2 linked regions of the Styela clava genome follow. The protein of the gene in region 2 purifies or fractionates together with the protein of the main gene of each other region. This does not show direct contact. Links are inferred from orthologs where the notes say so. Each region holds a gene or a part of one and is shown on either strand. Other genes may lie near its edges.

Region 1 (6,534 bases), on a different chromosome or scaffold from region 2:
AATTAAATTAATCTTGTTCAGTAATGGCGTCGGCTGTGCTCAGGTGGCTAGATGGTTTATAATCTGGGAAATAGATACCCTTATTGTACCCGTAACTGGTGAACGAGAAGTCTGTAAGGTACCGATATAATAGTATATTGACTTATGGAGTAAAAATTGCTGTTGTCAAGTGTGCTTTCAGTATGGTGAGAAAATAAACTACTGATTACTGATTCCAAAACACTAACTTAGCTCTAAAATGTGGCCGAATTTCACAAGCGCCTGAGCGTACGTAGGGTTTGAGTCTGAGATGCCGTGATAAATATTGGTGCCGGTAATACAATATAATACCGTGATAAATATCGGTGCCGGTAATACAGTGATATATCAGTATATATAATATAATACCGTAATAAATATCGGGACCGGTAATACAATATCGTTTTATTATTGAAGAAACAGGATTGCTTTAGTCCGATGGTCAATATACATTCCCCGCCCGACTTCTGGACTTTGATTGTGTAAATGTGTAGTTGTGTGTTGCGATTTTTGTACCGGTACGGTTACTACGACGGGGTTCAAAATAAACCTCATCATCTATCAATGCAACTAATATTACAGCAGTACTGTATTCGCGGTACTGAATCAACCAGTTTAATCCTAGTGTCTTGAGTGTTGGGAAAATGGTGAGATGTATGCTGGGATAAGAAGCCCTAATACTGTAATATTAGGGTGACCATAACACAGTAACAGGTAGTCAGGTACCGGTATAGGGTCTGGTATAGTTTAGTACCACATCCACTTCTAGTTGGCCTGGCTCAACACTTTTTGCATATGTCAATCCTAACCCCCACCTGACTACTTCACCGAAAAATTACGTCCTACCGGTTTCACAGTGGCGTAATACTGTAGTAAGGCCCACCGATATATGCGGATGGTCGTCCAAAACGCGCAGACGATAACCCGAAATCGAGCAAGCTATTTCTCTCGTTTTCTCATCGCAACGATCACGATAGGAGAGAGATTGCCGGCTTTAGCAAGTTCTTATCGGTGGCGCAGATGCCATTTCGGGCGATCGTAATTATACTTTGGCAATCCCTATGACGTGATGGTGACGTCGTAGTGACGTAATTTTTGGATGGCATAGTCAGGTGAGGGTTCATATGTTATTCCTCGTTAAAATCGTTATGCTACGCCCACTGGAAGTACTTGTGGTACTAAACTATACTAGACCCCCGGTATATACTGATTTGGATTTTCTCATTAACTGCATAAAAAGTTTTGACTCATTTCAAGTACTGACACTTCTGCACTTGCTGTGACTATGGCACCAACAAAGTCTTGTATCAGACACACACCAGCCCAATGCTGCGATGTCTGAATCCTAGAATCTCATATGGCTGTTTTGATTAAGCTTTTATTTTGCCTCTTCACACATTCTACTTCGATAATATAACATGTTGTATCGAGTGATAAATAAATTCTAATATAACATTCAATATCAAAAATAGTGCAGTAGCGTGACTGGATTTCAGCTTTGAATTTGGATTGTATATAATATATATATGTGTACCAAAAATTAGTGTTGCTTTGTGATTTCATCCAGCTGTTTATTAAAAATGAGTGTCAGTTTTTTTAAACACAAACAGGCGTTAATCAATACCTACAAAGAGGTTCTTGATGAAAAATCGGACACAGATTGGGCTCTTTTCACGTATGAAGGTAAAGATAATGAATTGAAGGTGGCAGGTACTGGAGAAGATGGCTTGGAAGAATTAGAAACTGAATTTAATAGTTCCAAGATCATGTATGCTTTTATTCGAGTTAAAGATCCAAAAACTTCTCTCAACAAGTTCATATTTTTGCATTGGCAAGGTGAAGGTGCTCCTGCAAATAGGAAAGGTGCTTGTGCCAACCATGTTAGGGATGTGGAAAGATTTTTTAAAGGAGCTCACATTACTATCAATGCTCGAAACGAGGATGATGTTACCCCAGAGCAAATCATGGAGCATATTAATCGTGCATCCGCGTCTACATATGCATTTGACAAGACAAAAGGTTCATATGATGATCCATCTGAGCCTGTTGGGTCAGTATATAAAAAGATAAATCCTGGTGCAGAAATAAGTTCCAAAAGAAATGAGAATTATTGGGAAAAGCAAGAAAGGGAAGAAGAGCAAAGGAAAAAACAAGAATTGAGAAAGGCGCAAGAAGAGAAAAATAGATATGCTCAAGAAGTTCGCGAAAGGGAAAAAGAGTCAAGCATGAGAAGACAAAATTGGGAAAAAGAAAGAGAAAAAGAAATTAGTGAGAAAGTAAGAGCTGCAAAACTTACTGACGACACTGCTGATGTTCGTAAAAGAGAGAAAGAAAAATGGGAAGCAGAACAACGTGAATTTGAAGCACATGAAGAACGGGGAAGAAAAAGAAGTGAATCTATAGAGAAAGCAGCTGAAGCAGCGCATCTTGTGCAACAACGAGACACTAATATGCGTGCTTTATGGGAACAAAAAATAAATGAAGCGACTCCTTCAAGTCAACCTGTTATTCAAAGGCAGCCCTCGAAACAAGGCGAAAGACCAATTGAAACATATCAACCGGCTGATGTTGAAGAACCAGAATATGAAACATTCGAAGAAGAAACTCGGAATAACGATAACAATATTGTGGACAATAAGCAGGAACCCACAAAATATGATGCGGAAGCAAATAAGAGTGGATATTCAGCAAGAGCTATTTATGATTATCAAGCTGTTGATGAGACCGAGATCAGTTTTGATCCCAATGATATTATCACTGATATTGAAGATATGGACGAGGCATGGGGAAGAGGTGTGGCCCCTGATGGACACTCTGGACTTTTTCCTCTCAATTATGTCGAGCGTTTGGAATCTGCTCCAAAAGCAGCAGAAGGTCATAAAACTTCCGATAATGTTTATGATGCAGTGGGCCATAATCAACAGGACGAAGGTCAAGGGGCACAAGATAATATATATGATGCAGTAGGAGAAAATCCTGGGGAAAGTAATGATGAAGATATTAAAAGTCCACATTCAGCAAGAGCTCTTTATGATTATCAAGCTGCTGATGATTCCGAAATTACTTTTGATCCAGACGATATCATCACTAACATTGAAATGATTGATGAAGGATGGTGGAGAGGTTCAACACCAGATGGAAAGTATGGACTTTTTCCAGCTAATTATGTGGAGCTTATTACAGAGTAAATTACTGCAATTGCCAAAGAATATATTCTTTATTGTGATGCTGCCTAAGTTATAACATGCCTTTATAGGACCAATCCAATCACCAAGTGTTTTTTTGACATTGAGTATTGTGAAAACATACTAATGCATCTTGAAAGTGAAATATTTGTAAATAAGCATGAGTCACAATAATATATCCACGCAAGATTATATTATACTAAGACATGAACACCAACTAGCGGGCTACACATGTTCTTGCTATTTTGCTTCTCAATGTTAACAATCACTTTACTTAGGCGAGATAGTTGCATCATTTATTAATAAATAACTATGGCTGTATCAAAGCTCGGTTGGCTAATTCAATCTAGTTTTAATTATATATTTTACCTGAATGTCATATAAACTATAATGGTATTATTATCTGTTATAAACAATGTTACCTGCGCCTAATTATTTTTCTAATGCAGTTTTTGACATCTGGCTGTCTTTGTTATTGTTGTATCCAATTATAAAACACTATTATTTCATAGTTGTTTTAATCGAAAATCAAAAATAGACTTGAACTTCATTCTTTTTTTGATTACAGTTTTTTCAAATCCTGTCAGACAATGTTTGCTTGTAATATATCTATTTTTTTTTTCAATCAAAAAACATTCAGTATATAACAATATGCTTCTACAATTTTTAATTTGTTTCTGTCCTCCATTAGAATAATTAATTGTTGGCTATATTTTAGGCAGATAAGATCATGATTTATGTCATACTTTACTCGGTCAATATTCTTATTTCATGCAAATTGAATCCAAGGTCATATCATTTGATTGTGAGCTTACCTAATGAATATCATTTGTATTGAAACTGATATAAGATGATATCAAGTTATATATATTTGCTTTTGTAATCCTCACTCAACGTATTCCAATAGGGAAAGCAATTTCCCTCATTTGTGTCTTTACCAAACTGCATTTAGTTTATACATATATTCAAATGTAACGATTATGTCTTAATTTAGATCTTAAAATAAAGACTTCATTATGACATTTTCTTCAAAGCTAACGGATGAAGAAGAATTTTTAAAGAAAAAATATACTGTACTACGTAAGAAGAAGAAAGAGTTACAGCAGCTTCGTATGAAGCGCAAACAACAGGAAAATGAAGCTGCAGAAAATGGCCCAACAAAGGCTAAACAGAAAAAGGGGCTTATGAAGTCTGCATCAGACTCAATATTGAAGTGTAATATTCCAGAGCGAAAAGACGCTGTTGCTAATATCAAAAACGTTTCCTTAAACGCTGCAGCTAATACTGAAGCTGCTAAAAAACTTATTAAATCGGGTGCAATACAGGTCAAAGTTAAAACAAAAACTACCTTTAAACGCTCGTTATCCAAGAAAAAACGAGACGAAGTGATGAAAAAACCTGTTTTTCAGCCATTCAGTCCTTGCAGTGGAACGGGCAGTTCATCAGACCAAGGTGATGATATGTCACTAAAAGATCAGTCTAACGCTATTGAGAGCAATAACAATCAACCAAAAAAAATTGTGCAAAATCGCAAAGAAAGCCCCAAAAAAGTAAAAAGGGAACGTAAATTTGAGAGACATGCACCAAGAAAAGGGAACACAATTTATATTCATGGTTGTGATTTAACAGAAAAACTGCTTGAAAGTCATTTCCAAGGTTTTGGAAAAATTATTAAAATAGACATTGAACAAAATGCACGGAGTGCTTTCATAACGTACAACTCCCTAGAAGCAGCAGATGTTGCCATCGATAAAATGAATGATGCGATGGTTGAAGGAACAAGATTGAAAGTATCTCTTGCCAGGCGACAAAAAATGCTGGAATCTGCAATGTCTTCATCGTTATGGGCTCCTTTAGTCGTTGCCCAAAGTGATAAAGGTCCTACAAATCGCAGAGAAAAAAGAGCGCTCGTAGTTTATGATGATGATGATATGTTTTCAAGCTAAGATTTTCTATGGCTTATAGCAGGGGTGTGCAACCTGTGGTCCACAAGGAAAAATTGTGCAGCCTGCGGAGACGTGCCGATTTTGAAGTGTGTGCAGCCTGGGAAATGAGTTTTTAATTTAGTTTAATCTGGTACCTGTGGGTAATTCCGATACGATACAATGCAAAGCGAACAACGCATGTCATAAAGATTATTAACCAAAAATTTTGTGCTTGCAACTACTTTAAAGCTTAAGATAAATAAAGGTGCGGCCCACGGTTTACCCTCCGTCATTTGAATGTGGCCCTCCTGTATTAAAGGTTGCACACCCCTGGCTTATATACTATTACTAGACATTACACCGATACCAAATATCTGGTCCTTTATTTCACGCCTCGTTTGGATCGTATATTTGAAATTCACAAAAATGTTCTTTCTAAAAATCTGTGTTGTATGGGCTATTTTTTTATAATCACAAATTTTTAAGTTGAGCATGGATGTCCATGTTTATCAATTTTTTTAACACTTGCAACTGCCATATATTATATTTATTATTACTGAAATTCCTATTACCTTTTGACTTTTTTTTTTTTTTACAACATCCTCCTGGCCAGAATCGTTCTACTCCTTGAGTCAGAATATATTGTCCAAGTTTTGGAGCAGGCTCTAGTTAAGATTGAATGATGTAGTCATGAATGAGTCTCCCATGTTTATCTTTTGAAATTTTGATAGAAATGACACACTATTATTAATAAGCTATTTATTATAGCTTAAGAAATTTTAATTTAATTTTACTCCTGTTGGCACTGTCCGTTTTTTCGTTTTTTGTTAGTGTTGAAATCAATAAAAATATAACTGCAATAAAAGTTTTTGATTTTCGACTAAGACTACCGTTTCATACGAACGTCATGTGTATGCAATATGGCTTTATCGCAGAGACAGAGGTCGGGTCAAGTCATATCAACGATATAACAAGTGCTCATTTAATACAACCGTCGGCATGATGAACCGAGGATGACATTGGCTGCGACATCAAAGCCAGGCAGGCAGTTGGAAAAGCAAGCGTCCAATTGAACATATCGAGCGATACAGCTCTCAAAGTCGTACAAGACAACGCCGCTGACGCCAATCTGGTGGTCAAGACATACTCCTCTAATGTGGGGCAATTGCGTCAACACGGTATCAGGGCCTTATCGGAGTCCCGGAATCTTTCACAATTTCATCTCAATCTCCATTTTATATTATCTGATTATGACTATTATTATGAATCTTGTAAAAAATTATAAAACGTCTTACAACTATCAATTTGTGCTTATAATTAATAAAAATAATTGCATTAAATTTATGTACTGATGTTTTGCGGTTGGAATTATTGGATTTCTATGAAGGATTTGCATAGCATTTTCA
Region 2 (7,963 bases):
TATCCTTATGGCGAACCACGGCCTCTCGTCCGGTTACCATTCCAAGTCGGGTATGGGATTAGTTGTATTGTTTGTTTTCGGAAGCATGGACTTGGTGGTGGAGGAAGCCGTAACCGACCAGCGGTTACGTGAACCACCCAACGACGGCGAGGAGTCCAGCAATCCTCACGCACATAACCATCCCTGCATGGGATTCGAACCTGCGAACCCACGCAGAGTAATTAGAGGTGCGGTGGCGAGCGTATTCCTAACGCTTAGCCCGTTGAGCCACTCCGCCGCGCAATTACCGCCTATGCAATTACCGTACATAGCCTAGGGCCATGAGGTGACATCTGTATGTCATAAGACTGTAAGACATGTCCTCATATTCTGATATTGCTGTATTGAGTTAGGAGTTTGTTTATTATTCTTTAAGGACCACTTGTCAACTGCAAAAAGACTATATTCGTTTTTTAAATTTGTGACATGAAAACATCACCATTGGATTCTTCAAAAAAGAAGGGGTTTACACTTACTGTTTGTTTGATGTCTTTCAATGTGGGGGCTATTCTTGGAATCGAAGAACTAATATTCTGATATACAGATAATATATGATATACAGAGACCCTGAGACCAGAGATATGCTGATAAATGTGAACATTTTCTTGTCCTGGCCTTTCCTCTTTTCTTATTCCAGTTTGATTTATTTTTCAGTTTTTAGTCTATAAAATGACTGCCCCTATGGCAGAAACTGAGGATGATTGGGGAAATTTTTCATCAAATTCATTTTCATGTGATGGAAAAAAGGAGGATTGCTTCAGTGATGATTATTTCAATTCTTTTGGAAATGGAATAACGCAAGGTCTGAATAATTGCACAACATTGAACGTTGCAGAGAATTATGGAAGTATGGAAGATTTGGTTAAAAAGTTTGAGCAGAAGATTTCAAAATGTTTTAAGATACAAAATAAATCAAGTAACAATGATAAAATTGTAAAACCATTACAAACATTAAATGATATTTTAGACTACAATGATATTTGGAAGTCGATCACTGATAACTATGGATTAGTTAAACCATTGGATTGGTGTAGTTCACAAATTCGTAAATTACACATTCCTGCTCTGGATCTCAACATATCAGACCAAAGCAATGTAGAAAAAGATCTCGATGGATATTCAGAATTTGAAAGCAATGAGCTTAAAAATCAAATGGATTTTCACAAATTAATTGAGTATAATGTATACTCAGAATGTGAGCCTTATCAAATGTCTTGTCAGAATTCTGAAACAACTGGAAATGGGAAATTACAATCTGCGGATGAAGTCATTCAAGAACTAGAAGAAATTATGTTGGATGCAGATGAGCAGGACGCAGCATTTGACGACGAGTTGGAACAACAAACTGGAATTATCATTGCTGATACTGATGGAAGCATAGATGCATTTTCAATTGAAAACGACCTGATGAGTGACGAGAGCAGTATAATTTATGGACGTAACTTGGGATCGCCATCCAGTCAGGAGGAAAGTGACAGAGCGTCTAGTCTGAAACAAATGTCAATTGCGGAATTAAATGAAGAGCTGTGTAGCTTGGAAAGTACTGTCAAGTTTCTTTCAGAAGATTTGTTGAATCAGTTAAATTTTCGCGATGAGCTTTTATACGAGAAAGAAGTTCGTAACACATTTATTTCCAAAATATTAGAAGTTCAACGTAAACAGGAACAATTTCAGCAGAATGATAAAGCGCATTCTAGCAGATTCAAGTTAGGGAAATTGTCAAAAAGTTTCAGCATGTCAAATGCATCAGTGTCATCCTCTCCTGGGAGATTTCTCACTACTGTAATTCCTTTTGACGAAGGTGGTGTTCCTCCACTAGAGGGTCTTCAGGCTCTTATTAAATTACTAGATGCCATCAAAGCAGATAGTGAAGAAGTGCCGTCGTTGATAACCAACTATATATTGAAAGTATTAGTTCCGGCACCGACAAGCGCACGCACTTTGACTTTATAAGATGCCGCAATTCAAATGACGCATGGTTATTTATTTATTTGACTTTTCAATGCAGCTTTTCCTAGGAAAAGTTATTCCAAGTTCGTCCATTTCAAATTGTGTTATTTTATTGGTAATTCTATTATTTGATCAGCTTCATGGTCAAATTTTTGTGTAGTTTGTCCCACTCAATGATAATGTTCCTAAAGATGTATTAATTAGTTTGCAGTTACCGGTAATCAATATAGTGATGCTCCATTATGAAATTAACAGTCTTAATTGTGTTGTGATCGCCCTCTACTCAGTTTAAATTGGCATACTTTGGGGGTACGTCATAGTATCAATATTGTAATGTATAGAGTATCGCAAATAAGACAATATTTTGTGACATAAATTGATTTTTCAACGTTATATATTATATATTGACGCTTTCCGCTTTCATAACCAAATTCTGGAGTTATTTGGATATCTCTCTGCAGCAGTGTGCTAAATTTACCTATGTTATAAGGAATTATGAATTTGCAATTGCTACAAAACTTTACATTGCTTGCCAGTTAGTCATTCATGATAGGTTTAACTTTTATTATTTTGTTATTTATCTTTGCTTTGTTCCCATAACATTATTCACTTTGCCAGAATCTTTTTTTATTGAATTCTTCATTTTATATCCGTCAAATCATTATGCAAGATAACCCGTTAGAAATAAATTTTTTAAATCGGTACATTTTATTTAGTAAAGTATGGTAGTTAATAAAATATAATTGTATGAAGGTTATTACACTTTTCAAGCCATATCTTGACGCTTTTTCAATATCAGTATTGAGTAATTTTAGTGCAGTATTGGTAAAAAGATCGGATGTGGATGGGACTTTTTGTTGCTACTACTACAATAATTAATTTGTCAAGTGAAACGTTTTTTTCATATTTCATATACTTCTGTGTATGTTAAGTGTTGTAGGAATATACCTCAAATCATACTCCACTGGGCATAACTTAATATTCAAACATAATCAGACAGACATACTGACTACTTGGCCACATTGTGCCGGAACAAATTCTTTGTATACTTAATTGATTTCATAATAATTTCAATAATAAATTTAAAACAAAAGCTGGCGACACTGTTGTACATTTTTAAAGGGGTGCCGTGTGTGTATGATGTTAATAATACTTAATTTGTTAAATGCTTTACCTGCAATTGATTGTTATTTAATTATTCTCAGTGTTAATGAATATTAGTTTCGATTGAGCTGTTTATCAGGTTTTTATAACTCTGTAATTCACTTCTTTGTCAACATAGTAATTGCAACAGTGGTGCCTGCTGTAGAATTCAATTATCATTATATATTTAACAGTATCGTAATCTCAACCTATTGTCAAACATGTTCTTTAATGATACAATTTATTTTTTTTGCTGACACTTCTTCACGAGCAAAAATATGTACTCTGTAAAAATTGTCCTTTCTAGACTTGAGGTGTGCAACCAGATTCCTGTATTTAGAGTTTTATGTGGGATTTTATAACTCCAATTGCATATATCATGATTTGCTACAAAAATTTTGCTACAATTTTCCTATAAATCAAGGTTTTATCTGAAAAAGAATTCTAGAAAATTAAACTATTAAATATGAATATCTCGGTAAACGTTTGAACAATGAATTAAATGTAGGCAGCGATTTAAAAATATCAATCTATTGTATAATGAACATCTCCTGAGTTTATTATTTTCAGTCGCTAAGACTGGATTATATATACCAGTATATATTCCCAAATCTTTTTTGGAAATTCATATTAATCCTGCACTGCACACTGATTTTAAATAGGTTCATGTTTTTTTTCAAACTCAATATTCAAACAAATAGTTTTCTGTCTGTTCTTAATTTTTGTCATTTCTATTGATTATGGTATTTTATCAGCAAATACTAACTGTTATAATTTTCATCCAAGACACTTTACTACTCTTCATTTTTCTTCAAAAACATTACTACTTTTTTTTCACACTTCTTGTGATTGCTTAATAATTGATGTTTGCATGAGTAAATTATATTAATTATTGTATTAATTATCACTTGCTCTTTTTACTTGCCCAGTTCTAGTTTGTGGCCACACAGTCCCATTTTATACTATGTTTGTATCATACTTGATATGAATAGATTGTTCATGTTTGACTTGCCCTAACTAAAATAAGGACCATTTTTATCGCGTATTTTCTATATAAATATTTAATACTCAGAATAGATATATAATATCAAATATTGTTAATAAATTGAGAAGGCAACTTTTTATAGGAGCAGTTAAAATAACTTATTTTAGTACAATTCATATTTTGTTATACAAAAATTCTGTAGTATATTATTCGTCAACATCAAATTGATTTCTAGTCATATTAGAGTATCCACTGTTGGGTTATTATAGCATTTTATTGAGGGTGCTGTTATTTATCATTATAATTAGTTATATTATATTTTGTCGAATAAATATCAAGAAAATCATTTTTAAATTTTTAGTACAAGTCACAACATAATTTCGGGATTTGATACATTTTTTCGATGTTCCACTAGAAATTGTTTATGTTAGGCATGTAACCATAATTTATACCCATTTTAAAATTTCATGTGTTTTAAATTAATTTATGCTAATAATTTCTAGAAAAAGTTCTCATGAGTAAGAGCATAATTTTTGTAGCAGCCAGTGTCCCATGTGTTTTTTTGGTGTAGTATTGCTTCGAAATTGCCAGAAAGATGTTAAAACCGGGAAATCTTGCCTTGAAGTGACCCAACATTATTACTATTTTTCTGATTTGTATTATTATCAGTATGAACACAGAAGCGATTATCCAAAAATCAGAATAATTTCGAGATGGTACACTTTTAATTAGTACCGTATTCTATATTTATCATATGTCAATGCCCCATACAGTGTCAACAATTTTTACTTTTCCTATTTTTGCTAATTTTATATCTTCATCTGTATTGTTTGATCTTCATGACTTCATTTAATAATTGTTTTCAATTTTTTCACAATGTTTTATGTCATAAGTTAGAACAATATTCTTAAAATAGAAATTTGGATTTAAATATCTCAAAATAAATATGGAAGATGAAGATAACCAAGATGAAGCTGCATGGGATGATCAGGCCGAAGGAGTAAGTAGCAGAGATCACATTGGAGATGATTCAATAAAATATATTGTTGCAAAAAAAATGTTTTTATTAATTCTAATTTAGACTATCTTGCTGTATTTCTTTTGCAATGAATATAATAGCCTAATTCCTGTTCGGTATTCAAACAATTGAAAAGTCCTTTTTATTTCTTGACTCAACTGAATATGTGGTAATATTTACACAGAACAACCTAAATATTGTGGGGTATTGAAGTACCAAGTTTTTTTTTTTAATAGTTGATAATATGTACAGGACAAATTATTTGTGGGAATCTGTTATCAAAATAAAGATATTTGTGTAATGTTTGCTATATATGCAACTATTTAATTGCATATTCACCAATTAAATTAAATAGTTTTTGGAAATTATGATTTGCTTTTGAGATAACAGGTACTCAATATTATTATTATATTGTAGATATCTTCTTTCTGGTAACGTAAGCAAGTTACATCTAACTTTTCGAAATTATTTTAATTTTTTTTTGTGCCTGTCAAGTATCTTAAGTTCAAAACCCATAACCACAATCTCACCCAGGGTGTAATATATTGAATACGCAAAGTAGAATTGGAAAGATTCCGTTCCTGGCTGCTTGTTCTGAGCCTTGTTCAGACTTAACATTTGATAAAATTCAAAATAAATTGGCAGTCGTATAGCTTCTTGTGAAGCACACCAAAAATTGGAGACTGTTTTTATTGGTCATCAATATTGTAGACTTTGGTTGTTTGCAAAGTAGAAAGTATTGATTTATTGAATCTGATCTTAACAGGTAATATTGATTTATTAGTTTCGTTTTCTAATAAATGGTCAAAATGGGTTTTACTTTTTCCTAGGTTGGTGCCCAAGCTGAGATTGGTGATGATATGGAAGCAACACGAAATGAATGTTTGAAAAATTTAGCAAGTACTGATTATATCATGGAGCCTTCCATTTTTAACACTCTCAAAGGGCAAGATATTATTTACTTTATGAATACCTATGTCCATGTTTTTTTAGCCTTATTTTTTATAGGTTTCAATTTTCAACTGATATAATTGATAAATTTTCTATATAAAGGAATAATATAACAATGGAGATCTCTTTATTATTTATTGATATACACGCCATCGTAATAATGATTGGACACAAGGCTGTTGTTTTTCATATGGTTTAGTTATCGACTGTTTGCGCCTTTAATATAAATTAGAGTATTGAAACTTATGGTATACAAAGGATTTGAAAAGGCCAGAATTTTTTTTGAAAAAGTTTTAAAATTTTTGTAATAGAATATATCCTAAATTGGGTAATGTTTAAGAGAGAGTTGCTCAAATTGCTGTTGTATTCTTGAATAGCATATTGTAAAAAATTAACATTGCTGTTAACTTGGCTTGAATTCTCTGTCGGATGTTGATGCTTAATATTTTTTATGAATTTACATTCTAACATATGCATAATTAATGCATAACTTTCTATATTAAAAATTATTGATTTTGGAGGTATTCAAAATTTGAATCTTTGTTTTGTACATCTCACAGAAATATATTGAGAGCCATAACATCAAAATTTGGATGTCACTCACATCAATACTTTTTTCGGGGCTCCTGAAGTATGCGAACCAAGATGGCGGACATCGGAATGTAATATGTGTACTAGGTTAGGGTTAGGCCATAATTTTAGATACAAATACTACGGGAGGCACTTGGCTACTCTTCGAACTCATAATAGGACTAAAATAAGGAAAATTGGAATAAAATTATGGCCTAACCTTAACCTGTTACCCATGCTACATTCCGATGTCTGCCATCTTGGTTCGCATACTTCAGGAGCACCCTTTTTTCTTTATCATGTTCACAATTATTTATATTTCTCTTGGATTTTAGGTATTTCCAAGCAGGAGGGATGCCAGAAAAAGTTGTTGAATTATTGTCTGATAATTATACTGCTGTTGCACAAACTGTCAATCTTCTTGCTGAATGGTTGATTATGTGTGGTAAGTCTTAGTAATGCATTCATGCTCTATGTATCTACCATATTCTTGTAAACAATTAGTGTTAAAAGTTAATTAAGTGGGTAGACGCAGTTATATAATTGTGGTTAACTTTTTATTTTGGGACATGACGCGTACATATGGAAGTTTCGCAACTAATGCAAGCATCGAGTTAAAAAATGGAAGTAGTCCTTATAAGGTTAATGCTTTTATTTTCCAAGCCCCATGTGACTTGATATTTCGAGGAACTGTTTGCTTTAATTAAATGGGAACGGTTTTTATCCCATATTGTGCAACTGCTTCCATATTGTATGCTTGCCGATCTTTTCGGAAAACTCTGTGCCTTCTTGCATTGATACTATGAGATTTGCTACATGTTTGAAATCGTACAAATGAAAATGATACAAATAAAGGTACATTTTTGACAGACATGTATAAATTTTACTATTTTCTACATACTCATTTATTTGGTAACTGATTATGAATGATACTTTTCAGTCATTCCAAGCCTAGCAGCCTAATGGGGATTAGTAGAAGCTTGTATTTGTCTTTGTTCGGAACCATGTGACATAGTGCTTGTAAAACGATTTTTCCATTTATGGAGATATAAAAAAGCAGCGAAAATAAAACATGTTTTGAAGAATTAATTGTTTTTCTTATTCAAAAAAAATTAAAAAAAAAGTACATTCGGTAAGTAATTGGCTGGATGCAATCCCACACCTTTTACCTTTCATTGCAAAATATTATTAATACAATCTTTTTGATTTATGGATAACGTTAATTCCAAGCGCAGTTTTAAAGTTCTATGGTTCATTAATGTTGTTACAAAATTATCCATATTTTTAAAATAGGTTTAGCTCCTACA

The links.
Region 1: the proteins of negative elongation factor D-like (region 2) and negative elongation factor E-like purify together in Homo sapiens (affinity purification with mass spectrometry; 9 studies listed by BioGRID and IntAct, counting the BioPlex papers as one, with this or other methods). This does not show direct contact. The link is inferred for Styela clava from reciprocal best matches to the Homo sapiens genes NELFCD and NELFE.

What each region holds. Positions count from the first base shown.
Region 1 is NC_135250.1:12,754,279-12,760,812, reverse strand, and holds negative elongation factor E-like, read left to right. Parts: upstream 1-4,212; 5' UTR 4,213-4,219; coding exon 4,220-5,149; 3' UTR 5,150-6,014; downstream 6,015-6,534. Other genes in the region: drebrin-like protein B, read left to right, coding at 1,599-3,206. UniProt on the Homo sapiens protein: Essential component of the NELF complex, a complex that negatively regulates the elongation of transcription by RNA polymerase II.
Region 2 is NC_135263.1:11,076,115-11,084,077, forward strand, and holds the start of negative elongation factor D-like, read left to right. Parts: upstream 1-4,954; 5' UTR 4,955-5,063; coding exon 5,064-5,117; intron 5,118-5,965; coding exon 5,966-6,081; intron 6,082-6,991; coding exon 6,992-7,101; intron 7,102-7,949; coding exon 7,950-7,963. Other genes in the region: fasciculation and elongation protein zeta-2-like, read left to right, coding at 709-1,992. UniProt on the Homo sapiens protein: Essential component of the NELF complex, a complex that negatively regulates the elongation of transcription by RNA polymerase II.